Kluyveromyces lactis: one gene and its partners. The protein of the gene in region 1 purifies or fractionates together with the protein of each later gene. This does not show direct contact. Links are inferred from orthologs where the notes say so. Each region holds a gene or a part of one and is shown in the gene's direction. Other genes may lie near its edges. The genes, in order: ERB1, BRX1, MRT4, NUG1, RRP17, NOP4 and CIC1.

Evidence for each region.
Region 2: the proteins of ERB1 (region 1) and BRX1 purify together in Saccharomyces cerevisiae (affinity purification with mass spectrometry; 4 studies listed by BioGRID). This does not show direct contact. The link is inferred for Kluyveromyces lactis from reciprocal best matches to the Saccharomyces cerevisiae genes ERB1 and BRX1.
Region 3: the proteins of ERB1 (region 1) and MRT4 purify together in Saccharomyces cerevisiae (affinity purification with mass spectrometry; 3 studies listed by BioGRID, with this or other methods). This does not show direct contact. The link is inferred for Kluyveromyces lactis from reciprocal best matches to the Saccharomyces cerevisiae genes ERB1 and MRT4.
Region 4: the proteins of ERB1 (region 1) and NUG1 purify together in Saccharomyces cerevisiae (affinity purification with mass spectrometry; 9 studies listed by BioGRID, with this or other methods). This does not show direct contact. The link is inferred for Kluyveromyces lactis from reciprocal best matches to the Saccharomyces cerevisiae genes ERB1 and NUG1.
Region 5: the proteins of ERB1 (region 1) and RRP17 purify together in Saccharomyces cerevisiae (affinity purification with mass spectrometry; 4 studies listed by BioGRID). This does not show direct contact. The link is inferred for Kluyveromyces lactis from reciprocal best matches to the Saccharomyces cerevisiae genes ERB1 and RRP17.
Region 6: the proteins of ERB1 (region 1) and NOP4 purify together in Saccharomyces cerevisiae (affinity purification with mass spectrometry; 4 studies listed by BioGRID). This does not show direct contact. The link is inferred for Kluyveromyces lactis from reciprocal best matches to the Saccharomyces cerevisiae genes ERB1 and NOP4.
Region 7: the proteins of ERB1 (region 1) and CIC1 purify together in Saccharomyces cerevisiae (affinity purification with mass spectrometry; 5 studies listed by BioGRID). This does not show direct contact. The link is inferred for Kluyveromyces lactis from reciprocal best matches to the Saccharomyces cerevisiae genes ERB1 and CIC1.

The regions. Positions count from the first base shown.
Region 1 is NC_006042.1:2,460,080-2,465,066, forward strand, and holds ERB1 (ribosome biogenesis protein ERB1), read left to right. Parts: upstream 1-1,796; coding exon 1,797-4,172; downstream 4,173-4,987. Other genes in the region: KLLA0_F26587g (L-methionine (R)-S-oxide reductase), read left to right, coding at 63-593; CSM3 (Csm3p), read right to left, coding at 4,299-4,987.
Region 2 is NC_006041.1:1,577,064-1,580,609, forward strand, and holds BRX1 (ribosome biogenesis protein BRX1), read left to right. Parts: upstream 1-1,670; coding exon 1,671-2,567; downstream 2,568-3,546. Other genes in the region: MDM20 (Mdm20p), read right to left, coding at 1-1,058. UniProt on the Saccharomyces cerevisiae protein: Required for biogenesis of the 60S ribosomal subunit.
Region 3 is NC_006038.1:1,183,721-1,187,123, reverse strand, and holds MRT4 (mRNA turnover protein MRT4), read left to right. Parts: upstream 1-1,598; coding exon 1,599-2,315; downstream 2,316-3,403. Other genes in the region: putative ubiquitin-protein ligase UFD4, read right to left, coding at 1-697; SHU1 (Shu1p), read right to left, coding at 2,409-2,924; MRP4 (mitochondrial 37S ribosomal protein uS2m), read left to right, coding at 3,302-3,403. UniProt on the Saccharomyces cerevisiae protein: Component of the ribosome assembly machinery. Nuclear paralog of the ribosomal protein P0, it binds pre-60S subunits at an early stage of assembly in the nucleolus, and is replaced by P0 in cytoplasmic pre-60S subunits and mature 80S ribosomes.
Region 4 is NC_006040.1:1,173,367-1,177,549, reverse strand, and holds NUG1 (RNA-binding GTPase NUG1), read left to right. Parts: upstream 1-1,880; coding exon 1,881-3,473; downstream 3,474-4,183. Other genes in the region: SUA7 (transcription factor TFIIB), read right to left, coding at 1-949; PAC2 (Pac2p), read left to right, coding at 3,849-4,183. UniProt on the Saccharomyces cerevisiae protein: GTPase required for 60S ribosomal subunit export to the cytoplasm.
Region 5 is NC_006037.1:186,642-190,208, reverse strand, and holds RRP17 (rRNA-processing protein RRP17), read left to right. Parts: upstream 1-2,056; coding exon 2,057-2,788; downstream 2,789-3,567. Other genes in the region: carnitine O-acetyltransferase CAT2, read right to left, coding at 1-77; DFM1 (Dfm1p), read right to left, coding at 690-1,538; ERD1 (Erd1p), read right to left, coding at 2,835-3,567. UniProt on the Saccharomyces cerevisiae protein: Essential protein involved in ribosomal RNA processing.
Region 6 is NC_006040.1:1,003,577-1,008,463, forward strand, and holds NOP4 (mRNA-binding ribosome biosynthesis protein NOP4), read left to right. Parts: upstream 1-1,502; coding exon 1,503-3,560; downstream 3,561-4,887. Other genes in the region: CHL4 (Chl4p), read right to left, coding at 1-1,041; cyclin-dependent serine/threonine protein kinase SSN3, read right to left, coding at 3,664-4,887. UniProt on the Saccharomyces cerevisiae protein: Required for 60S ribosomal subunit synthesis. Probably involved in the processing of 27S rRNA to produce mature 25S rRNA.
Region 7 is NC_006042.1:2,031,955-2,035,649, reverse strand, and holds CIC1 (Cic1p), read left to right. Parts: upstream 1-1,384; coding exon 1,385-2,515; downstream 2,516-3,695. Other genes in the region: ELF1 (Elf1p), read right to left, coding at 1-482; KLLA0_F21824g (transcription activator GCR1-like domain-containing protein), read left to right, coding at 3,101-3,695. UniProt on the Saccharomyces cerevisiae protein: An adapter protein that specifically links the 26S proteasome to its substrate CDC4 which is one of the substrate recognition subunits of the SCF E3 ubiquitin ligase complex. Required for turnover of cell cycle regulatory proteins CDC4 and GRR1.

The DNA.
Region 1 (4,987 bases):
TAGAGTCTACGCTGCGTCTCTTAACTAAAAGGCTGGCTACAAAATATCGACCTCTATTTAATATGGGAGAAGACGGTAAACATCACGCAGACTACTCTTCATTCCAAACAACAGACAGGAAAAAAGCTCTCGAGCAACTCTTGATTTCATATGAGGCTTTAGCAGAAGGTCAAGACAACTGGGTCTGCAATCTGGCGAACGCCGCATCATTAATCTGGCATTGTTACATATCACTTAATGTTGACGTTAACTGGGCTGGGTTCTACCTCACTCGGAGAGAGAATAAAAAAGAGTTGATTCTTGGGCCATTTCAAGGCAAAGTTGCTTGTCAGTTGATTCAATTTGGTAAAGGAGTGTGTGGTACTGCTGCGTCTAGTCAACAAACTCAATTAGTACCAGATGTTGAAAACTTCCCAGGGCATATAGCATGTGATGGGGAGACAAAGAGTGAAATTGTGGTTCCTATAGTCCAAAATGGCGAAACAGTAGGTGTTATCGATATTGACTGTTTGGACTACAACGGGTTTACTAAGCTTGACCAAGAATTTCTAGAAAAATTGGCCGCTTCAGTTTCAAAGACATGCGTATTCTAACTCATTAAGTAGTTACACTCGTTAATTATATTCTCTCAATTGATATCACAACTCTTGACCGTATATGAAGTTGCCTGTTATTGCATACCTAACATAGGGCATGCTGCCCCAGGTCCAGTGGAACAGAAGTTTTCTAGTTTTCAATGAAAAAAATGATTTCGCCCAGGATCGAACTGGGGACGTTCTGCGTGTTAAGCAGATGCCATAACCGACTAGACCACGAAACCATCTTGTGAGGTCTGTCGTAATATAGACTGAAGACAAGCCAGACGAGAGGTCATGTGAGCTAGCCAGCACACGGCAGAGTTCCAAGACGTCAGTGACTGGGCATATGGATCCTGTGGTATCCAGAAGGGATGGCCTAGATGGATCATAGACGGTCACGTGATGGTCTTGAGTGCGCGTGGAGGACGGTAGCTGCAGAGGACCTACAAGGGCATGGAGGCAATGAGTTGCCATGACGAAGTCTGACGACCATCCGAGTATATAAGTCGAGTATAAAAGGCTGAGCTATGTTGCGACCTCTTGGGGAGGTTGGACGCATATACTCAACGATCTAACTAAATAGATTATTATATTATATTCGTTATATTGTTTGATATCAACGATCCCTCATCAGGCGATTAATCAATCAACTATCATCCAAGGCATATCACAACAAGATCTGAGAGAACTACATGAGTATATGTTACATCGTTAAGAGTTTCTGAAGAAACGAAATAGGTCTCTCTTATCAGCGCCCCAAATTGGAATAATGAAGTTTACTGGAAATAGCTTCTTCAATGATGAAATTACAAACTTGAAAACGATGTTGCATCTACTAGAATAAAACTAAGATAACTGTCTATGATGCAAAAAAAATAAGAGTTAAGAATTACATTCATTGTAGGCTAGCGACCAAAGTAAATATCTTCAACGTAAGTAGAAGTATATGTGGAGTTGATTGAATACCAGTTCCCTATCTTTGCTGAAGGGTACTTTGACTTTTTCAAAATAGCATTCTTGTTCAAAACTTTGTAGAAGTAATTAATGTATCGTAATTTTCTTTCTTTTTGTTTCTTAAAATTTTCAATTTTCATCTTGAGAGATGAGATGAGATGAGCTGAAGTGAATAGACCACAGAGATAACCAGTACTTCTCAAAGTTAACGGCATCAGAAGAAGCTCTGAAAGTATAGAGAGCCAGAAAACAATACCAGAAACTATGGCCAGAAAGAATTCTTCTTTGAATGGTTCTGAATCAGCGGAGCTTGTTGTAAAAAAGAGAGTTCTCGAGGAATCTGAATTGTCCGATTCTGAAGATGAAAGAATTGAAGTTGATGGTTTAATCGATGAAGAGGCTAGCGAAAATGAAGCTGAGGAAGCTGAAGATGACGACTCTGATGCTGAATTCAATCGCTTATTAGCTGAAGAAGAAAATGGACAGGAGGAGGAGTATAATACTTCAGATTTTTCTGAAGAAGGCGATGCTTTTTCCATTACCGACAAATTGTCAAATGTAAAGTTAACAGTGATTCCAGAAACAAGCGATGAAGGCATTGTTCGTACCAAGTATTCAGATGGAAGACCAAGAATTCTTAAGTCAGAAATTAATCCTGTTTATGATAGTGATGATAGTGATGCAGAAGCTAAGAACACAATTGGTAACATCCCACTATCTGCATATGATGAAATGCCACATATTGGTTATGACATTAATGGTAAGAGAATAATGAGACCAGCCAAAGGATCTGCTTTAGATCAATTATTGGAATCTATAGAATTGCCAGAGGGTTGGACAGGTTTACTAGACAAAGACAGCGGTGCCTCTTTGAATTTGACCGAAGAAGAACTTGAATTAATCAATAAGTTGCAAAATAATCAACAGACGGACGAATCTGTGAATCCATACGAACCTTTAATCGACTGGTTCACTAGACACGAATCTGTAATGCCAGTTACGGCCGTCCCAGAACCGAAAAGACGTTTCGTTCCGTCAAAGCACGAAGCCAAGCGTGTGATGAAAATAGTCAAAGCAATCAGAGAAGGTAGAATTATCCCACCAAAGAAACTAAAGGAATTAAGAGAAAAAGAAGAACAAGACAGTCATAACTACGATCTCTGGGGAGATGCCGAAGAAATCTCTGAACATGTTATGAACTTGAGAGCCCCAAAATTGCCACCACCAACAAATGAGGAGTCTTACAACCCTCCGGAAGAGTATCTTTTGACCCCAGAGGAAATTGATGCATGGGAAAAGATGGAACCAAGTGAAAGAGAGAGAAATTTTGTGCCTCACAAATTCGCTGCATTAAGAAAAGTTCCAGGTTACTCTGAATCTGTCAGAGAAAGGTTTGAAAGATCATTAGATTTGTATTTAGCGCCTCGTGTTCGCAAAAATAAGTTGAACATTGATCCTGAATCTTTGATCCCAGAATTGCCCTCTACAAAAGATTTGAGACCATTTCCAATCCGTTGCTCTACCGTTTATGTCGGTCATAAAGGAAAAATTCGTACAATGTCCATTGATCCAACTGGATTATGGTTGGCTACTGGTTCCGATGATGGCACTGTCAGAGTATGGGAAATTCTTACAGGTAGAGAAGTTTACCAAGTCACAATACTTAATGCGGAAGAAAACAATGATGACCACATAGACGTTGTTGAATGGAATCCCGACAGTACTACCGGTATCCTTGCGGTTACTGCTGGCGAAAACATCTTCTTGCTTGTTCCACCAATTTTCGGCTTTGAAATTGAAAACACAGGTAAATCAAAGATTGAATACGGTTTTGGTTTCGATACTTTCGGAAACGTCAAAAAGAGTAATCTCAATGTGAATAGCGATGATGAGGATGACGGTGCTGAATCACATGCTGTCAAGAAACAGGTTGCTCAATGGAATAAACCAACCGAAAGGCAAGCTGCCAATGATATTTGTATCGTAATAACTTGTCGTAAATCAGTGAAAAAGCTTTCATGGCATAGAAAAGGTGATTACTTTGTCACTGTTCAACCAGACTCAGGTAATACATCAGTTTTGATTCATCAATTATCCAAGCATTTAACTCAATCGCCATTCAAAAAATCTAAGGGTATCATTATGGATGCAAAATTCCATCCATTCAAGCCACAGCTCTTGGTCTGTTCTCAAAGATACGTCAGAATTTATGACCTATCGCAACAAGTGCTAATCAAGAAACTTCTACCTGGTGCTCGTTGGTTATCTACTATTGATATTCACCCAAGAGGTGATAACTTAATTGCATCCTCGTTTGACAAGAGAGTGTTGTGGCATGATCTTGACCTTGCAAGCACTCCATATAAGACCTTGAGATACCATGAGAAGGCTGTAAGAAGCGTAAGTTTCCACAAGAAACTACCACTGTTTTGCTCAGCTGCGGATGATGGTAACATCCATGTTTTCCATGCCACGGTCTATGACGATTTAATGAAGAACCCTATGATCGTCCCGTTGAAGAAACTAACCGGCCACAAGATTGTGAATAGTTTAGGTGTTCTAGATACTATATGGCATCCACGTGAAGCTTGGCTATTCTCTGCAGGTGCCGACAAAACCGCTCGTTTGTGGACTACCTGATAGAACCCTCATGACGGGATATTTGTAAAACACTGTATACTATGGACATCATTACCTATCAATATTACAAGTAGATACTTTCTAATTAGTGTTCAAGGGAATACATTATTATCTTTGGATCAGAGCTCAAAAGGTATCCATGTCTCTCATCATTGCCATTTCCTCATCTGATGCGATATCATTACCGTTATTTGTTGTGCTGGCAACGGTCGTAATTTTACTCAATTCGTCTAACTCTTCAGCGTTAGGCAGAGCGTAGCCATTTTGTGTATGTTGCCGTATGTTTGTATCAGTGGTGGACAACATTTCATTCGTGTGCCGCTGGTGATGCGAAGAATATAGAACATCATCATCATCATCATCATCATCATCATCGTCATAGTTGCCGTCATTATTCTGATTTTTGTCTTTGTCTAGGCTGATAATTTTGGTGGCTTCATAACCATACTGTGCATTTCCGCGGTCAGTCGCTGAGGTAGATTCATCCGTTACAAATAAGCTATTTCGTCCCTGATGAGCAGGTAGTACGCCTGTGTCGTGCATTTGCATATCAGGTACGTTGGGAATGTCATCTCCGAGGAGGATACCCATGTCTTTCCTAACTAAATTCATTCTATACTCTCTTAGCTCTTTGTCAGTTTTCCCCAATGATTCACATAATGAGGTGAAATCTTTGAACTTTGCCTTCGGATACAAATTATGAGCCCATAGCTGATAGAATTGTAAGAAGTTTGTTAAGTTATCGTAAGCTGTCTTGTGCTTGCTGATTCTACAACTTTTCGGAGCATGTTCCATGACATACGGCAGACCCTTAG
Region 2 (3,546 bases), on another chromosome or scaffold:
GCAACAGCTTTGTCGTGTATCAGCCCCGAAGGCAGCTTTGAAAACATGGTCTCGATTTTCACTGGGTTCAATTCCAAGCTATGAAGATCGATTGGACAACTAGGTTTATCATGATATTTCTCGATGAACTGAAACAGGTAGTGATCTAGCCTATCGTCATAAAGTTTTGCTGCTGCGACTCTTGCTAGTATGTAATTTCTCGTATTCTTGATTTCCAAAACTTCCAATAACTCATCGAATGACTTGCCAAGTTTGTAACTTGCATCTATAATCTTTTGCAAAATACCATAATCGTCAAGGTTATTCAATAACGAGATTCCATGTTTCCAAATGAGTTTATAATCGTCTAATTTCACCAAATGGCCCATAAGGAAGTTTTTCAAATAAAGGTCTAAGTAAGTACCATGTTTCCAAAACTTGAGGATCTCGTCCACGATCTCCTGTGATTTATCCTCAAACAATTCACAAACTTTACAGAAAACGATCAACTCTTGCTCATTCTCAAAAGGTTTCAAATCGCTTGTCAATTTATATGTCAACTTAGGTAAAAGATCCAATTCCCTTTCGTTAATGTTATCTTTATCCAACTGAAACCATACTACAGTAGCAATACTGTTCCAGAATTGGAACAATCTCGATTTCGATTTTTCATTGACTCGTGGCATCTGGAAACTACTCTTACTCAAATGTCTCCAATTTAAATCCCTCAATGACTCCAAGAACCAATCATAACATGTCTCCGAATTACCGTATTTCATCATTGCTCTTTCATAAGGTTCCAATGCACTGGTGGTGTCAAAACCTAATTCCAACAAAAATCGATGGCACATTGATAGCGATTTCGCATCGCTTGGAGGAGATTTGGCATCCAAGATCAACTTTAACCCATTTTCAAAACTATATTTCGCAGGAGATTGCCTGTACTTGACATATTGCTCTAACACTTTGTAATAAGTGGCGGATGGGTACCGTTTCTGCAATGATGCAACAAACTGTGAAGCTTTCTTAAACAGTTCCCTATCTAATAGCTGAAAAAGCTGATGATCTTCAGAGTTCATATCAACAGTTTCCACTCTTCGTGTTGGTCGATATCAAATCTAACAGATCAAACAGCAACGAACACCGTTACTGCCAGACATACCGGGTTGTTCTACGAACGACGTGCGTATGAGGTTGTTCATTAGAAGTTTGAATGCTGAATTAAGCCAATATCGTAATTTTTCAGTCTTGATTACCCGGATAATAAACTATAACTGTATGTGTATCCATAAATGTAAACGGCACAGCCTAACAAGGGCATCAGCGCTCTTACTGCTTGAAATATAAACGCAAGACCTCACCATACAATCCCCACCCGCGTTGAATCTGATAGAAGCCAGTTGGCAGACGATACGAACATTTTCTTTTCGAGAAACTATCCTTTTCTATTTTAAATCATCACTGATGAGCCTTAGTTTCTTTTTCGGTACATTGAAAATTTTTGAAAAGTTAGAAAAGGCGATGAGATGAGATGAGATGAGATGAGATGAGATGAGAAGAGGTATTGAACAAGGTTGTCCTGATCCTTCCAATCTATACATCGTCGGTCTAAACACTTTGAGATTATTGTATTACACTTGAGTAGTTGGAAGGAAGAAAAAGCCAAGAACTGCTAAGCAAATCCTTCTATAATGTCGAGTATTTTCAAGACTTTGTCTCGTAAGGATAAAGACGGTAAGAAGAACAAAAATAATGCGGCTAACAGTGACAGTAATGAGAAACAGTTCATGAATAAGCAACGTACCTTACTTATTACGTCCAGAGGTGTTACTTATAGACATCGTCATTTGGTTCAGGATTTGAACAGTCTTCTACCACATTCGAGAAAGGAACCTAAGTTGGACACGAAGAAGGATCTAGGACAATTGAATGAGATTGCGGAATTGTACAACTGTAATAACATTATATTCTTTGAAGCTAGAAAGCACCAGGATTTGTACCTATGGCTATCAAAGCCACCAAATGGACCAACAATCAAGTTTTATTTGCAGAACCTACATACCATGGACGAATTAAACTTCACTGGCAACTGTTTGAAGGGATCCAGACCAATATTGTCATTTGATGGTAGATTTGATTCTGAACCGCACTACCGTTTAATTAAAGAACTTTTTATCCATAACTTCGGTGTACCACCTCAAGCTAGAAAGTCCAAGCCATTCATTGACCATATCATGTCTTTCAGTATAGTTGACGAAAAGATCTGGGTAAGAACGTATGAGATCTCGCATGAAGCTAGGAACAACGTTGAATATGAGGATAAAGAAGAAGATGAAACGTCGTTAGTTGAAATTGGCCCACGTTTCGTGATGACACCGATTTTGATCCTTGAAGGTTCATTTGGTGGTCCAAAGATCTACGAAAACAGACAATACGTATCGCCAAACTTCGTTAGATCTCAAATTAAACAACAGGCTGCCAAGGAAGCTAAGACCAGAGCCGAAGCTGCTGTTGAAAGGAAACTAAAGAAGAGAGAAAGTGTCTTGGCTGTAGATCCATTATCCAACGATGCATTGTTCAAAGATTAAAGTACAATCCAGAACTCTAGAAAAAATCATGATTTATATATTGTCAACTTAGGAGAACGGCGTTCTTCCTGCTCAGACTTGTACATATGTATACTCCTATATATATGCTTTTGAATGGGCTGTTTTTGATAATATAATTTTTCGTTTTATTCCTAACTATACTATACGTTAAAGTCGTACATGAATATTTAATTTATTTAGTTAACTTGGGGGGCCAGAATACCAGTTAAACTTGAAGCGTCATGAAACGTCATGGGGAAAACGTTTTTACATTTGGTGTGAACCACAGTGTGCTGTTTGAAATGTTTTTTTTATCATTTGTTTGAATTTTAATAGATTTATTAATATTTTACTTGCCCAATGCCATTGCATTCTTCTATTCCCCAAATACGAAGATGTTATGCGTAGTAATAACAAATCATACTGTATAATTTTCAGGAAACGTGAATTGAACAGTCAAGTGGGTAGAATTAATAAGGAAGTAAAAATGTCCTGACTTTTATCTTTAGTGCTTTTCAGCGTTGGCAGTATGCTTTTCCAAGTAAGCCTTGATGAAATCTTCCTCACCCTTAGAGGAAGTAGAGTATAATGGCTTGGCTGGTTGCTTAGACTTGAATGGGTTTGGAATAACCAACAATAATACAGCACCTAAAGTCCCTAGGGCCAATTGATGTGGTTGAACAGTTCTACCCAAAATTGTGTATGCAGCACTCATCGTATATCAAATTATTTTCTTGGTCTATATTCTAACAGAGTGAATCTCGAACAAAGGTGTATAGGATACCACTAATAACGCATCTGATCCAGTGCAAAAGTTCGCTCAAAACCGCCTTGTTCTTTCTAGTGAGAAGAATTCGAAACTTTGAAATTTTTCAGCTTTGAGAAAGGAAATCCTGCTTTACACGCTTTTTAAGAGTAAATCGCTCAGAAACAGACGTAGCATATTCTTCAACACACCCATACACCTCACACAGTTTAC
Region 3 (3,403 bases), on another chromosome or scaffold:
TATAGAGACACCTACAAGCAATTAATTGTAACTCCAACTCTGCTTGTAATAATGGGCTAGACAATACATGGATCAAAGCGTCCATTAACTTGCCAGATGGGATGATTCGATCAGCGATCAAAGGGTTTAACATCAATAGCTGTTCAGATAATTCCCGGAGAGATTCCATAGCAATATACGGATCGTCTTCAGCTTGAAGCACATTCTCAATCAATTTCAAATACCGAGAATTTCCTCTGCTAACACCGAAAAACCCTTCAGACCTTCCTAGTTCTTGCAACAGATCTGGCAATGAACGTCCAAATGCACGCTCCGAATCAGCTTCCTCGCCTTCAGCAACATCACCATCCCCACTTTCACCAGATCTTTGATCCGCTAGACGAGAAACAATATCTTGTAGAAACGAAATCCTGTCCGCACGGTCCCCAGAACGGCTTTCATGATAAACATTCCCTATCTCACCTTCTACTTCCTCATCGTCTTGATCTTCATCTTGATCTTCGTCCAACTGCTCTCCTTGCGATCCATCTTCTTCCCCGTCTTCGTCTTCATCATCATCATCATCGTGATGGACAAACTCTAAATCATCTTCATCCTCTGGATAAGAATATTCGCCAGATTCAACATCATCACTTTCATGGCTACCGTTCGCATCTTCATATATGATATAGTCGCCATCGCCATCGTAATAACTCATCTTTTCAAAACCCTTTCCTGTTTCAAATCACAAATAAGAGGCAAAATTACTATCTAAAATTTCTAGTTCACAACCCGGTATCTCTTACCACCTTAATAATTGGTATCTTAGAGGTTGTTAGACTTTGGCAAGCAATACAAGAGGTATGTTTAACTCGCCGGCTGTTCATATCAAACCAACTAGTTTGTTTCCTGCTAAATATGTACTGAGATTGCAATTTCCTGACTCTGAACTTTTAAGGTACATTTTGGTCCGGTACACTGCGGTTTTATCTGAGGAAAATATACACAATACCCGTCGCCACAAGTAATGAGTCACGTGACTAAGTTTACTTCCCCATTTACAATACATCTCCGGTAATAGGTTAAATCATTACCACTATATCTACTTGCCCGATACACGATCATGCCCTATCTGTGCCTTTCTAGTCTTGATATTTGTGTTGAATTGAGATCTATTGTCTCATTGGCAATGAGTGAGAGACTCAGAAATCAGTCAAGGGAATTCATACCGGAGTTTGGTTTTGCAGTTCCTTAGAATAAACCTCTCTAACCGAGCTTATGAGAATGGCCCTAGAGCATTGCAAAAGAGCCGGTATATGTCTTACCGATTCACTTTGTGTCAGAGGTCGTTACTTTCCGTTTGGAAAAATCAAATCACGTGACTCACAACTAGAAAGAAAAAGAAAGGCGCAAATTTTTCAGTTTGAGAAAGCTCATCTCATCGCATCTACTCGATGGACCTTTCATAGTTTAAACTGATCAACAGTACTAATCGCTATATTCTATCAGTTGTATTCCTCTTTATTTATCTCTCTTCTGTAATTGAATAGTGTTCTGATAATTGTTTACTTTTCGTTACTCTTTATCATCAAGCTACTACATATACCAACCCAGATACGATGCCAAGATCTAAGCGTTCAAAGTTGGTTACATTGGCCCAAACCGATAAGAAGGGTAGAGAGAACAAGGAAAGGATATTCGATGAAGTTAGAGAAGCCTTGGATTCTTTCAGATACGCTTGGGTTTTACATTTGGAAGATGTGAGAACTCCAGTTTTGCAAGAGATTAGAAGTTCTTGGGTTGGATCCAAGTTAATCATGGGTAAGAGGAAGGTGTTGGTGAAAGCGTTAGGTGAAAAGCCAGAGGAAGAGTACAAGGAGAACTTGGCCAAACTATGTAAGCACTGTTCTGGTGTTACTGGTCTATTATTTACCAACGAACCTGTCGATGTAGTGGAAGATTACTTCAAGGCATATGTGAGAGCTGATTTCTCCAGACCAAAATCAAAGGCTCCATTGTCTTTTACCATTCCAGCCGGTATTGTATACTCTCGTGGTGGTCAAATCCCAGAAGAAGAAGATGTGCCTATGATACATTCTCTGGAACCAACTCTAAGAAACAAGTTCAAGATTCCAACCAAAATTAAGAATGGTAAGATTACCATCGAATCTCCATACTTGGTCTGTGAAAAGGGCAAAACTCTAGATGTTACTCAAGCATTGATCTTGAAACAATTTGGTATAGCAGCTGCTGAATTCAGGGTGAAGGTTGCCGCATACTACGATAACGAAACTTCTAGTGTGGAACAGATCAATATCAACATGGATTCGAAATAAATCCAAAAATAAGAAAGCATTGCAGTGATAAACTATAAATATATATATATAATCATAACCTATATATTTCTCCTTTGTACATTAATCTCTTCTCTAGGAATCCTTTATCGAATACACGTACTGCCAATATTCGGTCAGATTCTTCCAACCTTGAGACATCATTCCCAGATCTGTCGCTGACACCATTCTGATACGCACAGCGTACTGATTTTCCAGTCGAAGCGATCCATGAAGGATGAGGTTACAATGTCGCAGCTGGGAGATTGACAGATCAAGAGTTTTCTGTGTCTCTTCTGATTCCAATTGTTCTTTCGTCATTAACAGGGACTCTAAACCGTAGATGATAATTTCTTCATAGCACATCGATGTGTTTCCTTTATTCTGGAGCTCAATCTCGACATATGTCAAGTACATATATAAATACTGTAATTTATCAAGGAACAGAATCCGCACGTTGGATCGTCCCCTGACTATATCATCAATACTGTTAAAGAAATGCGTCTTGTTTTCCCGTAGATCTTGCTCGAAGAAACTTCGAGCCTTAACGCCAACTGCTATAACTAGAACTTTCTTGTTACGGTCCAATACATCACGCAGTACATCTTCCATCGGTTTATAAGGATGAAAAATAATCTTAACCAATGCTATCCTACTAGGAAATACCTTATCCTAATAAATTAATTTCACGCTTGTAAGCCGGTACATTAATTGTTTCAGATGCGTAATAGCCTTGACGGTTTGAAATGTTGATACTTAGACCACATAAAACACGTGATATTTAATTACTGAGAATATATCAAAGTATCAACTCGTATACAATGATCTGGAAAATTTTATTGAATTGGTGAATTGGACAGTTGGTTATCGTAGCGTTTGGTATATTAAATTACGATGATTTGAAGAAGGTAAAAGGTAAAGGAAGTGATTTAGTCGACATTTTGAGTGTTACCTTCACCTTATAGTGAGAACTGTATCATTTGTCCGGAATGTCTGTTAGATACTGCACCAAAAATTTGGTGGGGAGGGCGCCATTTGCCTTAAGATCAGGTGCAGTGAGACTGCAAAGTTCTTCATCAAAGGCTAGTTCC
Region 4 (4,183 bases), on another chromosome or scaffold:
CTTTCACGGTACCTTCTGTGACTTGTAAAGTCTGAGAGATTCTTGTAGGACTGATATTCAATTTGAATAGTAGAGTTGCCATATAGATAGCTGCTGCTGCGATGGTGATAGGAGATCTACCAGCCAAGACATTGACATCCTTAGAGTGTTTCGCGATGTACTCTGCAGCATTAGCCACCTGCACTGAAAGGCCCAAATGAGAACAAAATCTAGGGATGAAAGTCTCTGCACTTGTCTGTCCTGTGGTGATATTTGAAGTATCAATATTGGCAAACCCTCTATCATTCTTTTCTCTTAGAATGTTCTTGATGATGGTAAACGTCTTCCCGATTTCCTTCTTCCGCACGTTAGTCAAGGATAAGATTTCCTTGAAAGATCTCCCGACCTCTGCTCTCCGACATCCGACAAGAATAACTGAAGCCATGATACTTTCCTGTGATTTCCCCTTCAAGACTCTCTCTTCGAAGCATAATTTATAAGCTTCTTTAGCACAATCTTTAACAATCTTGGGCAGTTCTGCAGCATCACACATCATAGTAATCTTCGCATATGCAGCTTGCAACTCGTTATCCTTCTTGTCAACGATAGATTTCGACTGAGCCCTATTCAAATCCCTAGTAACTCTAGCATCACTTCCCTGGGCCTGCCCGATACGTGTGGTTAAATGGTTTCCATCCAACAAAGGATTTGAAGCTTCACCAACACGACTTGGATCGTCTCCATTCTGATCGTCATTGCTAAAAGTACGCCATTCTGACCTGGTATCCACAATTCTATCCGATAAGACTAACCCACATAATGCACAGACGATATCACCTTCACTAAACCGTTCCACAACTTTCGGAGGATAAACTTTACATTCGGGACACGATATAACAATGTTCAAATTTGGCCCCCTCCTTCTAGATGAGACAGCTACATTTGCTGAAGCTGCTGCTGGCAATGACATAGTTTCTCTTTTCTCTTGCCTCGGTATATGACTCAGAACAGCCTAAAAAAATAGCTGGAAACTGAACGGTAAGAAGTCGAATGATGAGCCGCTAAGATAACTAAACTTAGGCGCTGCTTTTGTTATAAAAGAACAGAAGAAATACCGATTAACCAACTAGTAGACGGACAAGACTGTGTAAGTTGCAACTGGATAGCTCCTTATCATTTTAGTTTCTCAATTTCTAAGCAAAAATGCTGGAAACTCGACGGAAATATATATCACGTGATAAACGCCACAGAAACAACCGTGGCATGTCTCTTGTTTACGGTTGATGAAAATTTTCACGAGATCCGGGTAACAAGTAATAACTTCGCAGTTATTACTACACTGACTGGAAGTAGAGAGGATGAGAGATGTGGTAAAACAAGTTCCACCCTCGCAACTTCGTATCGTATATCACGTTATATCAGTTCTTATTACTGAGATGATTTTTGTTCCCTGCTAGTGTCAAAAAAAACTGCGCAACGGCTACTGGGCTGCCTTTATATGTACTGACAGTTTCACTGCCCTTGACGGTATTACTGTATATATAATGTTAAATATCTGCCTGGAAGTGCTCATAGATATACCAAATACGTCCCAAATATTATTGACACAAATTATGGCTTGCGAGTAGCATAAGATTGCCTCGTAATTGACGAGTATCCACTGTGTTTCCACTGTCGTCCGCCAGCAAAAAGAAATTCTTTTCTACTTTGAAATTTTTCAGCTCTTCGAAATATGTTAAAACCTGCGATGAGATGAGATGAGATGAGATGAGACTTGATATTTACAGAACACCTGTTCAAGTAGATGTTTCAGTACTGTTTTCCGTGATAAGTTCACCGGAACAGCTAAGATATCTATAATCCAGTGCAGTAAATATACCTTTTTCCATTAATCAAAAGAGATGGTGAGAGTAAGAAAGAGAACTTCCAAGAGAACTTCCACTCGTATGAAGGAGGGTATCAAGAAGAAGGCTGCTGCTCAACATAGGAAAGAGCGGAAACTTGCTAAGAAGGATGTGACATGGAAATCCAATAAGAGTAAGGATCCAGGTATTCCGGCCAATTTCCCGTACAAGAACAGGATCATCGAAGAGATTGAAGCGAAGAGAAGAACTGATTTGGAGGAGAAAGAACGTAGAAAGCAGGAAAGGTTAGAGGCTAAGAGAAGAACTCGTGAACTAGGTGAAGATGTTGGTGATGACGATGAATCTATGGATGAAGATGAAAACGACGGCAACAATGGTCTTTCTGCTTTGTTAGAATCCGCTCAGCAAGCTGCAAAGGAGTACAATGGGGAAGGTATCGATGATACAATGAATGGAGAGCAAGAGGATTTAGAGGTTGCTGAATACGACGTAGACTTTTACGCTGACGCAGATGATGATGATTCTGAATTAGAAAAGTCTAGAAAGGCTTACGATAAGATATTCAAGACTGTGGTGGATGCGTCCGATGTTATCCTTTACGTGCTAGATGCAAGAGATCCAGAAGGAACTAGATCGAGAAGAGTGGAACAGGCCGTGCTTCAATCCCAGGGTAAGAGACTAATTTTGATCTTGAACAAGATCGATTTAGTGCCACCATACGTGTTGCAACAATGGTTAACCTTTTTGAAATCCTCGTTCCCTACTATTCCATTGAGAGCTGCTCCTGGTGCCACTAACTCCACATCTTTCAACAGGACTTTGACTCAGGCTACAACTGCTTCAAGCTTGTTAGAAGCTTTGAAGACTTACTCCAATAATTCAAACTTGAAGAGATCCATCGTTGTTGGTGTCATCGGTTATCCAAACGTCGGTAAGTCGTCTGTCATTAACGCATTGACCTCTCGCCGTGGTGGTTCTTCTAAAGCATGTCCAGTGGGTAACCAAGCTGGTGTCACTACATCTATGAGAGAAGTCAAGGTAGATAACAAGCTAAAGATCTTGGATTCTCCAGGTATTTGTTTCCCAAGTGAAAATAAAAAGATGAGTAGAGTGGAACAAGAAGCAGAGTTGGCCTTGTTGAACGCTCTACCTCCAAAATTCATCATAGATCCTTACCCAGCTGTGCTCAAATTAGTGAAGAGACTTTCTAAATCTGAAGAAATGACTGAAAGTTTCAAGAAGTTGTACGAATTACCACCTATCCCAGCTGCCGATGCAGACTCTTTCACCAAACAATTCTTGATCCATATCGCCCGTAAGAGAGGTAGATTAGGTAAGGGCGGTGTTCCAAACTTGGCCAGCGCTGGTATATCCGTTCTTAACGATTGGAGAGATGGTAAGATCCTAGGATGGGTTCTACCCAATGCTTCTAAGGAATCTGCTGCAGAACATGCTGCTACATCTGGTGAAGCTAACCAACCAACTCTAGGTACTGGTGCTGTCGCAGCACCAGCTAAGGTGGAACAAACGACCATTGTTCAAGAATGGTCCAAGGAATTCGATTTGGATGGTCTTTTCGCGTCATTGGATAACGCCATTGAAGCTGAACAAGACAACTTAGGTAATTGAGAACACAGAAAACGAATTATTCTGCATCTCTATGAAATACGATCAAGGATCCTATTGCTTATTTTATTTCGCATCGTTAAAGCTATAGATTTAAAAGCTTATGTATTAGGATGTGAATTTGAACACCCGTTTCAGTCCACGCACCTAATAGACAATACACATTTGTACACTACTACATATAAATGATTTAATATCTTCTTCGGCAAGACGTTTTTGTCATCTCTTTTCTTTAGGTAACAAACCTTTAAATAATACTTTAAATGCCTACTAAAATCAAAATGTTTAAAAGAGTGAAGAAGAGAAATAATCCGTGAGTCTACCATACGAACTCCAGGCTACACTATGTGTACAGCGTGACTAAATCTAGGGCCAAATATGCAGATCAATGTCAATGATAGATTGAATATAGGAGGTGAGTTTTGCACAGTACGATACATCGGATCATTGCCAGAATGGCCTAATATCGTTGCATATGGTTTAGAGTGGGACAACAAGCAAAGAGGTAAACATGATGGAACGTTAAACGGAGTACGATACTTCAGAACATCCGATGGACAGAGCAGTGGCTCATTTGTGAAGGAGACTAAACTAGATACATCTCGGCAAGAGAGAACATCGTTTGAAGGTGCATTATTGATGAAATACGGTGATACTTCATCAATCGATATTACCTACAAATTTGGGTCGAAAGAGACTGAGTCATATGGATT
Region 5 (3,567 bases), on another chromosome or scaffold:
CTTTTCTTGTTACCTTGACCCATGCGTCTCATCCCCATACTAATACCAGCACTGCTTCTAAATGCCATACTTCTCATCGTCACTGTTGGTGTTGGTATTCACAACGGGTATTTAACTAATAAATAAAATAAATATCACAACAATTGAAACCTTTTATTCTATATCGTGTTCCGCTTTCTTGAGGATGATTTTGGTTGTTTAAACCGGCAAGGAAACCATTTTCGGAACAAACCTATTAAAAGCGAAAGGTGTCCTTAACTTCTGAAATGCAGCTATATATATACTAAATAATACTAGCTCATTTGTACATGGTTTTATTCATAAAAGGCTGAAACTCGAGAAATCCGAATTGCTGATCATTCATTACACAAGAGCCCATTCCGTTATATACGTCCGAACCGAGTGATCATCAACGAACCTGTACCAGTAACTCTCTGCAATCCTGTACCCAAGACGTGCTTCACCTCCACTCTTGGTCCCTGTGGTCATTCGTTTGCTCCAACACTTTTTGATCATCAACTATTTTCTCGCCATAACGGGCTTTTAGGCAGAACCATCATACAAAATCAATTTTCCATTGTCGACATATTTCCATTAAACCTGGGGTAAATAAAATAACACAAATGATATATACACAAGGGAGATGTAGATAATATAGATAACAGTATGTCGGATTATTAGTACCTTAATCAGTCTATTTTGGTCCCTAATCTATTTCCAGTTCCAGCGAAAGTGCTTTTCTTTAACGGGGTTCTCAACCTTCTTCTGGTCACGGGGTCTGTCCTGTTTGATGACGAAACGGGTTTGGAGGTGATGGATAGGACACGTCCTATCCATAGAATGATCGAGGAGAACCATCTTGGTGATCTGAAATGACCTCTTCCAGAGAATCCGTACGCTGGGTCCTTCCCCATCAGATAACCGTACAAGGGACCGTAAGTCCATGTGTCTAGGCAGGAGTAAACGTATCCAGCACAAAACCCGACCATTGTGACGCAAAACCTGCTGTAACCATCGGTCCCGTCATCAAATAAGAACGAAACGAAAAGATGCACTAGCGATAGATATTTACCCAAGATTGGGAATAATCCGTAGAACATTACCTTCACGTTGCTGTTGTCCAGAGTCCACGTATATAGGATCATTCCTATGAATGCGTTAGTGAACACTGGGTATGAGATCTGGCATGCTTCTACGAGCACGACGATCAATGCAAAGTTGAAACATATGTAAAACAAATAATCGATGGATTTGTTGCTGAAGTGCACTAATTCGAGATGTAACGATTTCGAGTATACTGCGTATAGGTCGAAACATGCTTTCATGGCATCGTTTGGTAAGATGAGGAAACTAGTGAACAACCTCCAGATTTGGAACTTGAACAATACACCACGTAAAGACCATTTGAAATCGCTGAAATAGTACGGTAATACGTTCAAGCGTTGGATCAAACATATTAACACCATTAAGAGACATATTCCTCGGGTCACCGGTGGAATTTGTCCTACAAACTGTATCAATTCGTTACGCATAGTCATGGCTGCTATGAATAATCACGCGTATCGTATATCCCACTGATGTTACTGAATGGTACCTCCGGTGTCTATCTTGACAGCGCATCTGTATAGTGAGTATAAATATCTTTCTTTCACTGCAACTTGGAACTGAAATTTCATAGAACCCGAAAATTAAAGCTATGGGAAAGACATAGATAGGAAAGCACAGAATGACAGAAATTGAATAGTTAAGTAATGATCCTCTACACAGGTATACGCCTAGATTTGTTTTCTACTTAGTGCATGGCAGAGCATATGAATTGGTCTAGATAAATTAGGTCAGGACGGCTAGATTGCCCTTATGCAATCATGTTATAGTTATCTATGTATTTCTTTCTGTATCTCGAAGTTTCAATATTTGGAAAAAGCATTAAAACGGAAAAACTTGCTGATGCGATGAGCTGAAGAAAGCAGATAGGCTTTTCACTTACTGAGGTGGTGCTGAGACCGGTTCAAGTTCTGCAGAAGATACAGAGTAGCAGTGTGGATATAGAGTGAAAATGGTGGCAAAGAGTAATCGTGAGATTCTTACCGGTGGTAAATCTTACAAGCAGAAAGCTGCTAAGAAATTCGGTGCTGATGAGGTAAAGTTCGATAAGGACTCACGGTTGGAATACTTAACTGGGTTCCATAAGAGAAAGCTTGATAGACAAAAGAAAGCCAAGGAGTTCATCCAAGAGCAAGAGAGAAAAGCTAGGCTCGAGGAAAGGGCCAAGATCAGAGCAGATAAAAAAAAGGCTCTTGAGAAACAGCTTGAAGATTTTAAACAGGCGATGAAAGATGTCGGTGATTATGTCGGTGTAGAGGACGACGACGAAGAAGCCGAAAATGGGAAACAGGGAAGCGATGAAGAGGCTGAAGAATGGACGGGATTTTCCGATGATAACGGAGATGCAACTGAAGAAGAAGAAGAGGATTCTGACTCTGTTAGTGTGAAACCGATCTTAAAGAAATATGTACAGACTTACTTAGATGATACTACGGTAGACATCGAACCCTTAGAGCCCAATGACAATTTTGAGTACCTTGCGGAATTAAATAATGTGAAGTTAGAGAAATCGGAACAAATTTTAGATCAAAGCATCGAACGTGCGAAGAAATATGCAAAGTTTTTGGGAGTTGAAGAAAAATCTGGTAATAAGAGTAAAAAGAATAAGAAGTTCAGATACTTGACCAAGAACGAGAGAAGACAAAATCAAAGAAAGGCCAACAATAATAAACGTAGGAAGTAATTAACCTTTTTTTTTTATTTATTATCTTCCTCTCTTTCTAAACATCTCATTCATCCATTTTCCCCCCCTCTGTTGTTGCAATGTATTCTACCTCGACTTTAAAGAATAACCAAATCCATCTTCTGATTATCTCTAAAATTTGTAACCAAAAGATGTTTAATTCCCCATAAAATACAGAGTGCCCACTGATATACTCCCAGAACCATACGAATCTCAAAATAAAATCGAGCGCCATAGCGCTATAATACCACGCATTTTTCCGGTACAACAAAATGCTTCTTAAAAGACCGTCCGCTTTGTTACTACTATTATTGTTATTGACACTAGTGTCCCCATTCACAAAATCGAACAGCTCTAGTTTCCAATCCATGGTCACATCCCACCAGAATGAATACGCGGAATTCCAAAACATGAACCAATACATCATTCCAAGTGGGCCCAGGTTGTAATATCTTGTATAGACTGTAACTAGCATGATAGGAATATTACCAGCATACTTAAAAGCATTGAACAATTGTGAACCATCTTTCTTCTGAGACCTTCCTCTTGTAAATTCTCTTAACGATTGAATCATTCTGACCAATGAGGGCAAGACTCCAACAAGTACGTCAATGTTTAACGATATAGCATTTTCATATCTTTCCACTTGACACTTGACGTTTGTTGGATCATGGAAAAGGAAAGTGGCATAAATAGCTAAATCCACCAATGGCTTAGAGTACGAGGTCAAAGTATCACTAATTATAATATAGTTATTCCTATACGGCTTTGGTTCAATG
Region 6 (4,887 bases), on another chromosome or scaffold:
GGTGTCTTCATATGTGAACTTCACTCTCCTCACCGGCAGAAGCGAGTCATATTTAGTAATCTCTTTAAGGTTTGTATCAGAGTTTCCGTATACTCTATCATTCATTCTCTTCATAGCATAAATTCTCTGTCTCCTAACACCAGAAATAGAACCCTTAAACTTTAGCATTGCTATATCACTTCTTCGTCTGGTCTGGTCCTTAATTAAAGAATCTGACAGGGTATGATTTATTGGATGATCTTTTGGTTCTATTAGTGGAGATGGCTCTAGTGCATCCTTGCCCGAATATACGGACCAAATCCCATACCCTGTAGTATTTACAGACGGCAGCCCTAGAGAAAGGTTTAATTCGTGTAATGACGTGGTTGGTTTCCTGCTAATTCTTTCCAACCTGATTGTCTTGGAATGTAGCTTTGAGAATGCCAGTAATATAAGTTGTGAGTGAGTATCAGACTGCAACGAGTGGAAGATAATCGAGTGTCCCGGCATAATAGCAAAGTAGAACGGTTTGTGTGTATTGATAATAAGGTCGCCAGTTGATTCGAACAACTGAACTCGGCATATGTACATACTTAAATCATCGTTTTCCTCAATGTTAACATCCAATTCGTAAAGTCGTTTAAACTGTTCGCGCATACCATTGATAAGCTCATTCGGCTCCACATTTACGATAAATTGCTTTCCATCTCTATCCAAACATCTGGACGCTACCCATTGGTTAGTTGAAGTGTCACATAAAACAGACCAGATATCCAGTTGTGATAACTGTTCTCGAGATAAAGAAGGCCACCAACTCGTGACAGCCATATTAGCAATATTCCGTACCCCATGTTTTTTCACCAATTCAACTAAATTATCCGAGACCAGCTGTGAATCATTAATGGCATGTGTATCAAGCCAGGTAGTGATCAGTTTCACTATTGCCTGTGCACCGAGCCTAGCAAGTTTATTCTTTGTAACTGTAATATCTACATTATTATTGTCATTTCGAAGCGTGCGTTCCATCTTGGCCGTCCCAATAATATGCTGTTCACCGTCCATATAACACCATCATAAAAAGAACATAAGGATTAAGGGTCATCAAACCTTTCCATAGTTTCAGATTATAGTCGATGTTAAAATTCCATGCATTTTATATAGTATTGATTCTGACAAGAAAGTGAGAACAATCAACTAAATTGGTCTAACTGTCGTATAAGATTGACAGAATATCTTCATAGAACCAGGAAAGTTGTATTGCATCGGAGAACAGAGGTATTGAACAGCCGTATATGCCAGGAATATCCACACGTGATCTGTTCATCTCTTTAAATCTTACAGCTTTTCAGTCCGCTTGATTTCTTTTTGTCAAAAAATTTTAAAGCTCATCTCATCTCATCGCCCAAGAACCATTAGTATTGATATCTAGTATATATATAGTAGAAGGTTAATGAACACATTTATATACTTATTTTGTTAGCGTCTACATCAAACGACGCAGATTTGTGCTTAATATATCTGTGATGAGTGATAAGAAAGTTATTAAGGATGAAGGTCTTGATCTGAAGACGTTATTTGTTCGTGGTGTGCCGTTTGAGTCTACCGATGAAGAATTCGGTAACTTCTTCTCCCAATTCTCTCCTATCAAGCATGCTGTTATTGTCAAAGATGGTGAGGGTGCAAGCAGAGGATTTGGTTTTGTTAGTTTTGCAGTTGAAGATGATACTAAGACTGCTTTGAATCAGGCTAGAAAGACGAAGTTTATGGGACGTTTGTTGAGAATCGATATTGCCAAAAGAAGAGAACGTTCCCGTGGTAAAAAGGATGCGGATGAGGTATCATCAGCACCTTCCGTAGATAATGTTAAAGATGAGGAGGAAAGCAAACCCGAAGATGATAATGATTTAATGAAGGGTAAACCGAAATTAATTATCAGAAATATGCCATGGTCCTGTCGTGATCCGACGAAACTGAAGAAAATCTTCGGATTGTACGGTACCGTTGTTGAAGCTACGATCCCAAGGAAGAGAGACGGTAGATTATGTGGGTTTGCTTTTGTTACAATGAACAGGATCTCTAACTGTAAGGCTGCTATAGAAGGCACTAAGGATTTGAAGATCGATGGCAGGAAAGTGGCTGTTGATTTTGCAATTCAAAAGAACAGATGGGAGGACTATAAGAACGAACATAAGGAACTGGAAGCGTCTGATGAAGATGAGGAAGAAGAAGAAGAAGATGATGATGATGATGAGGATGATGGTTCTGATTCGGGTGAAGAGGACGCTGACAATCAGGACGACAAAGAAAAAGAAGAAAAAAGTGACATCGTCTTGGATTCTGATGAAGAAATCAGCGAAGAGGAGGAAACACCAGAACAGGATACCGTAAAGAAGAACAGAAAGGAAGATTTCTCTATTTTTGTGCGTAATGTTCCATACGATGCCACTCAAGAATCCTTAGAACGTCATTTCGGCGTGTTCGGCCCAGTAAAATACGCTTTGCCAGTGATTGATAAAGAAACTGGTTTGGCGAAGGGTACTGCTTTCGTTGCATTCAGAAGCGAAGATGCTTACAACGACTGTCTAAATAATGCTCCTGCTACAGGAAGTACATCCCTTCTAATAAGTGATGATGTTTCCCCAGAGTATGTTTATGAGGGTCGTGTTCTTGCAATTTCTCCAACTCTTGATAGAGAATCTGCTGGAAGAATGTTTGAGAGAAATGCCGAGAAGAGAAAAGAAGTTCTTGGTAAGGCACCAGGTGAAAAGGACAGACGTAATCTATATTTGTTAAATGAAGGTAGAATTGTTGCAGGTTCAAAGCTTTCACAGTTGTTAACTCCTGCTGATATGGAAGTCAGAGAAAAATCTTACAAGTTAAGAGTCGAACAATTGAAGAAGAATCCAACGTTACATCTTTCGATGACTAGATTGGCTATCAGAAATATTCCAAGAGCAATGACTGAGAAGGGTCTAAAGGCGCTAGCTCGTAAAGCTGTAGTAGAGTTCGCCAAAGAAGTTAACGAAAACAAGAGACACGCATTGAATAAAGAAGAAATCGTCAGATCTACTAAGGAAAAGTACAAGTTCATGTCTGAAGAAGAAATCGAAGCTCAAAAGAAGAAGGACAAGAAACAAGGTATTGTTAGACAATCTAAAATTATCATGGAAATTAAAGGATCTAGCGGTGGTAGAAGTAGAGGGTATGGTTTTGTTGAATTCAGGGATCATAAAGCTGCGCTAATGTGTCTAAGATGGTTAAATGCTCATGAAGTCAGTAGGGACGAAATCTTAGAAGGACTTACGGATGATGAAAAGAAACAGCTTGATGCAGACAGTTTCAAAAAAAGAAGACTGGTGGTCGAATTTGCTATCGAAAACGCTAACGTTGTGAAGAGAAGAAGAGAAAAGGTCAAAGAATCTAGATTGATATCTTTCAAGAGAAAAAGAGATGATGAAGAGAATAAAGAAGAAGAAAAAGTGGCTCAACCAGTAGAAGAGGAAACAAAATCTGGTCTAAGTAATAATATTAAACAGATTATTGGATCTAAACGTAGAAGAAAGAACAAGGGCCGTTCTTGAATGTAAACAATAGTCAAAGGCAAAAATTCAAAGCATTCCGAAGCAATGAAGTTTCTAGGATATAAAATCTGTATATTAAATAACATGCATTTCAATTATAGAATCATTTTCTCTTTTTCCGTGCTGATCCTCCGGTTGCAGTATTGCTTGTGGGGTTGTTTCCATTACCAGACACAGCAGCTGCAGCGGCAGCTGCCGCTGCTGCTGCCAAGATACGTTTGTTTACACCTAATCCGTTCATGTTCCCATTCTTATTATTATTGTTACCATGCATTGGTTGTTTTTGAGAGTGATTAGCTTGATTATTATCATTGCCGACATTCGTAATGTCGTTATCGTTTGTGTGAATGCGCCTTGGTGGGTATTTGTAGTTGAGACCCTCGAACACATTTTCACAGACAGGAGGGTCGCCGTTGGTGAAATAGACATGGTCTAAAGCGTCGATTGCATCGATTCTCTTGATAGGATCATACTGCAATAGACGGTAAAGAATGTCTAAAGCAGTCTTGTCCTTACCGCCAGCGGTCTGATACCATGCTGTTAAATTGTCACGATATTTTGGCATTTTTGCCAACTGAAGATATTCTGGATAACTGTCGATATTCGGCCATATTTTATGATCTGGCGAACCCATGACTTCCAATATTTTTTGAAACTGATTAGCTTGAAACAGAACACTCTTCTTGGACTCCATCTTGGCCTCTTCACCTTTAAAGATTGGCCTTAAACCGATGAGTTCTGCAAAAATACAACCAACAGCCCAAAGATCTATTGCAGGAGTATAATGTCGAGCTCCAAGTATAAGTTCTGGGGCACGATACCAAATTGTTACAATAACCTTATCACCAGTGTATAAAGTCTGTACCATGTTATTGAATTTTCTCGCTAGACCAAGATCACCGATCTTGACGCAGCCATCAACGGTAACCATAATGTTAGCGGGCTTTAAGTCTCTATGAAGAATCCAGTTCTGATGCAAATAAGAAACACCATCAAGAATTTGCCACATTATTGATTTGAGCATCCTTGGCGGTATTAGTCTCTTTTCAGGATGCGAATGAAAATGGATAATTTGTAAAAGATCATGTTCAGCAAACTCTGAGACCATGTAGATGCTCTTCTTCTCTAGGAATATTTCAACTAATTTCGTTAAATGGTTATTATCCAATTCTCTACAAAGTGACATCTCTCTGCATGCACTTTGTGAGATACCTGTGTAATGCTCGACACCTTCTCTTTCCGTTTTGAACTTCTTAATAGCATAGAACTGAATTTGAGAAGGCTTTCTGGAGTTGTTTGTTATACTCGACGAATTTATCCTTACATT
Region 7 (3,695 bases), about 430 kb from region 1:
CCTCTTTTGTTAGATATTTTACCGTCATCGTCTGAGTCTGATTCTGGTTCTGAGTCTTTTCGTTCGGTCGCTCCTTTTCTTCCGTAATCCGCATCTTCGTCTTCTTCTTGTTCTTCTTCTTCTTCTTCGTCAGAATCTATTCCAACAGCTTTTCTACGGTTTGAAGAAGGCTCAGTATCAGAGTCACTCTCGTAGTCACTGTCACTGTTTTCATCTTCAGATTCGCTATGTTTCCCTTCGTTAACTTCCTCAACCGCATCAAACCAGTCACTATATACATCTACCGGTTGTGATAGACCATTAATGCGGGTTTGGAACGATTGTCCACAAATCTTACAATGAAGCGAGCCAATGTTATTCTTTTTGTCCATTGTTACGCTCACAGAGCGTTCGTGATTACAGAAGAGACAATTGAATGCCGTATCTAACCTCTGTACTATCTTCTTGGCTGGACCTCTGGATGACTTCTTTCTCTTACCCATGTCTAATGCTCTTCTTATTTGTCTTGTGAGAGCGTATGCTTACCCCTGCGGCTAGATTTGATTAATATATGCTAATATGCCTTTTGCAGTATAAATGAACGGGGACGATGACTATGTTTACGATATAATAATAATAATAATAATAATAGCAACTTAATAACTCATAAATCAGATTCGTGCGGCGTATTCTCTGTTAAGGTATCCTTTATATCGATCGTGAGTCCTGTTTGACAGCCGAAAAAACCTAACTCAAAAATAGTACTGTTCCGAAATAAACCAGAGAAAGAAACCCTAAAATACACAGTTTAAGCCCTTTTGTATTGTAACCCCATTCACTGAACGTAGCCCGTTGCTCATTAGTAACTTTTGCACAAACACGCACCGAGATTCAATATCAGATTCGGTTACTCTTTATTTCTTAAGTGTCAAATGTTATCAAATTTCAAGAAAAGTTTCAAATCATATATTACGGCCTTCGCTTTCAAAAAGCAATATTTACTAACTACGTGAACACAGTGGAGCTCCTGCGAAACAGAAAATTTTTATTTTTGACAATAGAGAGCTCATCTCATCATAGCTCATCTCATCTCATCTCGAAGTATGTTGCACACCTAACACGATTAATAAAGTAATGGTATGTAAAGTATTTAAGTACCTATTCTTATTTCTCAGCTCAAAGGATTGATTAGATATATACTGGATATTTCATAGTTGCCAGTACGAACTCGAGAAGTAAGCTTACCTAGGTGAACCAACAATTTGTTGATCTTTTTCTGAGACAGTGCGAATCAAGTAAGTTAAAAAACGCTTGGAAAGAATCCAGAATATAGAGGAAATAACTCCACTCATCCAGTCTAGTATATCTACAAGCACATTATAAGCAATATCAAAGTTTAGATAATATGGCAACTAAAACTAAGAAAAGCAAGGTTTCGACCAAAGCCACCAAGGCTACTAAGGGCAGTAAAGAGGAAGAAGTCATTCCAGTTAACAGAGTTAACAATGCTGTTATTAAATTGCAAGAATATTTGAAGGAAAATGGATCAAATGACAATCAGTTAATTGATGATTCTGAATTGGAGGCTCAGCTACAGTTGATCCTAGTCAACACTGAATCTTTTACTGGTTCTTTGAAAAACTTCAAACCAAAACTAATTACAGTTCCTCATTCTATCTTCAAGCCATGGAAGGAAGCTAGCACCACCATGGTTAAAGATTTCAAGACTCTTTTGATTCTAAAAGATTCTGATATCAATTCAGTGACATCAGAAGACTTGATCGATCTACTTCCAGAACATATTACTATTGATGCCATCATATCTGGTAAAGATTTGAAGACAAAATACAAGGCTTTTGAAAAGAGGCGTGCATTTGTACAGGATTTTTCTTTCATTCTAGCTGATGACTCGATAGTGACAGCTTTGCCCAAGCTATTAGGTGGTAAAGCATACAGTAAGTTGAATACCACTCCAATTGCCATTAACACAAGATCGGATAACAAGTTTAACAAGACAACTTTGGTAAATAGCATCAAGAGAATTTATGATACTAAAATCCCAGTCAAACTTCCAAGAGGTAACACGATGAATGTTCATCTAGGTTCATTGGAATGGTTCACCCCAGAACAATTGACTGAAAATATCATTTCTGTCGCTAAACAGTTCATCGAAAAGTACAATATCAGAACCATTCTTCTCAAATCTAACGAATCACCAGTCCTTCCATTATACGTTAATTTGGAAGTATTAGACAAATTGGTTGGGTCCAGACATGATGCTAAGACTTCCGTTCAAAATGTCATAGAAATTGATGGTGTCGAATTGCAACTATCACAATTTGAGAAATCTTTGTTAGAAATTGCAAATCCAGACGAACTAGACTCCTTGTTTGCTACGCAAATTAAGCAAGCCAAAAGAAACTTGGAAGAGGTCGAGGCAGAAGAAGAGCAAGAAGAACAAAAGAAAGAGCAAACGAAAGAACAAAAATCCAGCGCTAAAAGACAAAAGACAAAGAATAAAAACGTAAAAAATTAGAGGTACAGGAGTATCGCGTTTTTTTTCATTCCTCTTTCTTAATTTCTATCCTTCACAAATATCGTCTTAAAACTTACCCATTTAGCATAGATTTAACGGCTGTCACCGCTCCTACAATGATAGTTTTCCCTACAAAATGTATTTAATCTGTACTCAAATTTTCCAGATAGCATCGATACTTTGCAATTCATAAAAGAATAACAGTAGTTAAATTCAGTGCGTTTTCGAACCAGCAGGAAAACGTTATTCCTAGTATTGTTTGGATGGTGCAAACCCATCGCCGCTCGAACAACTTTTCTGATGTGCCACATTTAGGTTTGCTGGTTTTTCTGTGTGGACTGGTGCGTCCATGCAGTCAGTGAAGGAAAAGGAAAAACGAAAAATAAAAGTGTCACAAAAAGATTTAATTACTATATTAAACATATGTCAAATATTATATAAACCACAGATTTCACAAACTTTCACATCATCACCTCTGTTATTCGTGCTTATTCGTAGTTTAGTATATACACTATTATTTACATCTGAATCAATTAGTATTTTCAAGTTTTGATTGCATTGCGAAGACGCCGAGAATCAAATGAGATGCCACAGAATATTGAACGAATAATTCATACATTCCAAAGCAGAGTAGACACTTTACAAACTGATTGGAACGTTTTATGCGACGCAGTGTGTAATAGCAAGTGTCAAAGTGTCAATGGTCAAATTGCCCTGTTAAAATCTAAGTTAGATTTAATACAACAACAGCATACTGGGATTATTGTTGATTTAGGAATCATTAAAACACATCTTTTAGCTCATGATTTGGATATGAATAACCAGTTTTTAACCGAGGAACAAGAAGTGGATTTTGACGTAAATAAAGAGAATGAAGATCCTCTACCTCTACTTGGAATTGATGAGACTGAAGCTGACATTTCGGAAGGGCCAAAAGTTTTCAAAGAAGAATTTAAAAATGAAATTCTTTTCAGTAGTCTCAGCAGAGAAGCGGAGAACGCATCGCGAGAAATGCCATCAAGGTACAAGGTAGCGAAATCACAACACTCGAGCAAAATCAGACCTCTCGGCGCAAAAGATCTGAACAATGTTGAGAACTATCACCTTATAATGACAGATTGTCCCAAAAGCGTCCATGACCTTTACCACGAGTTTTATACAGATACAAAGCTTCAGATCT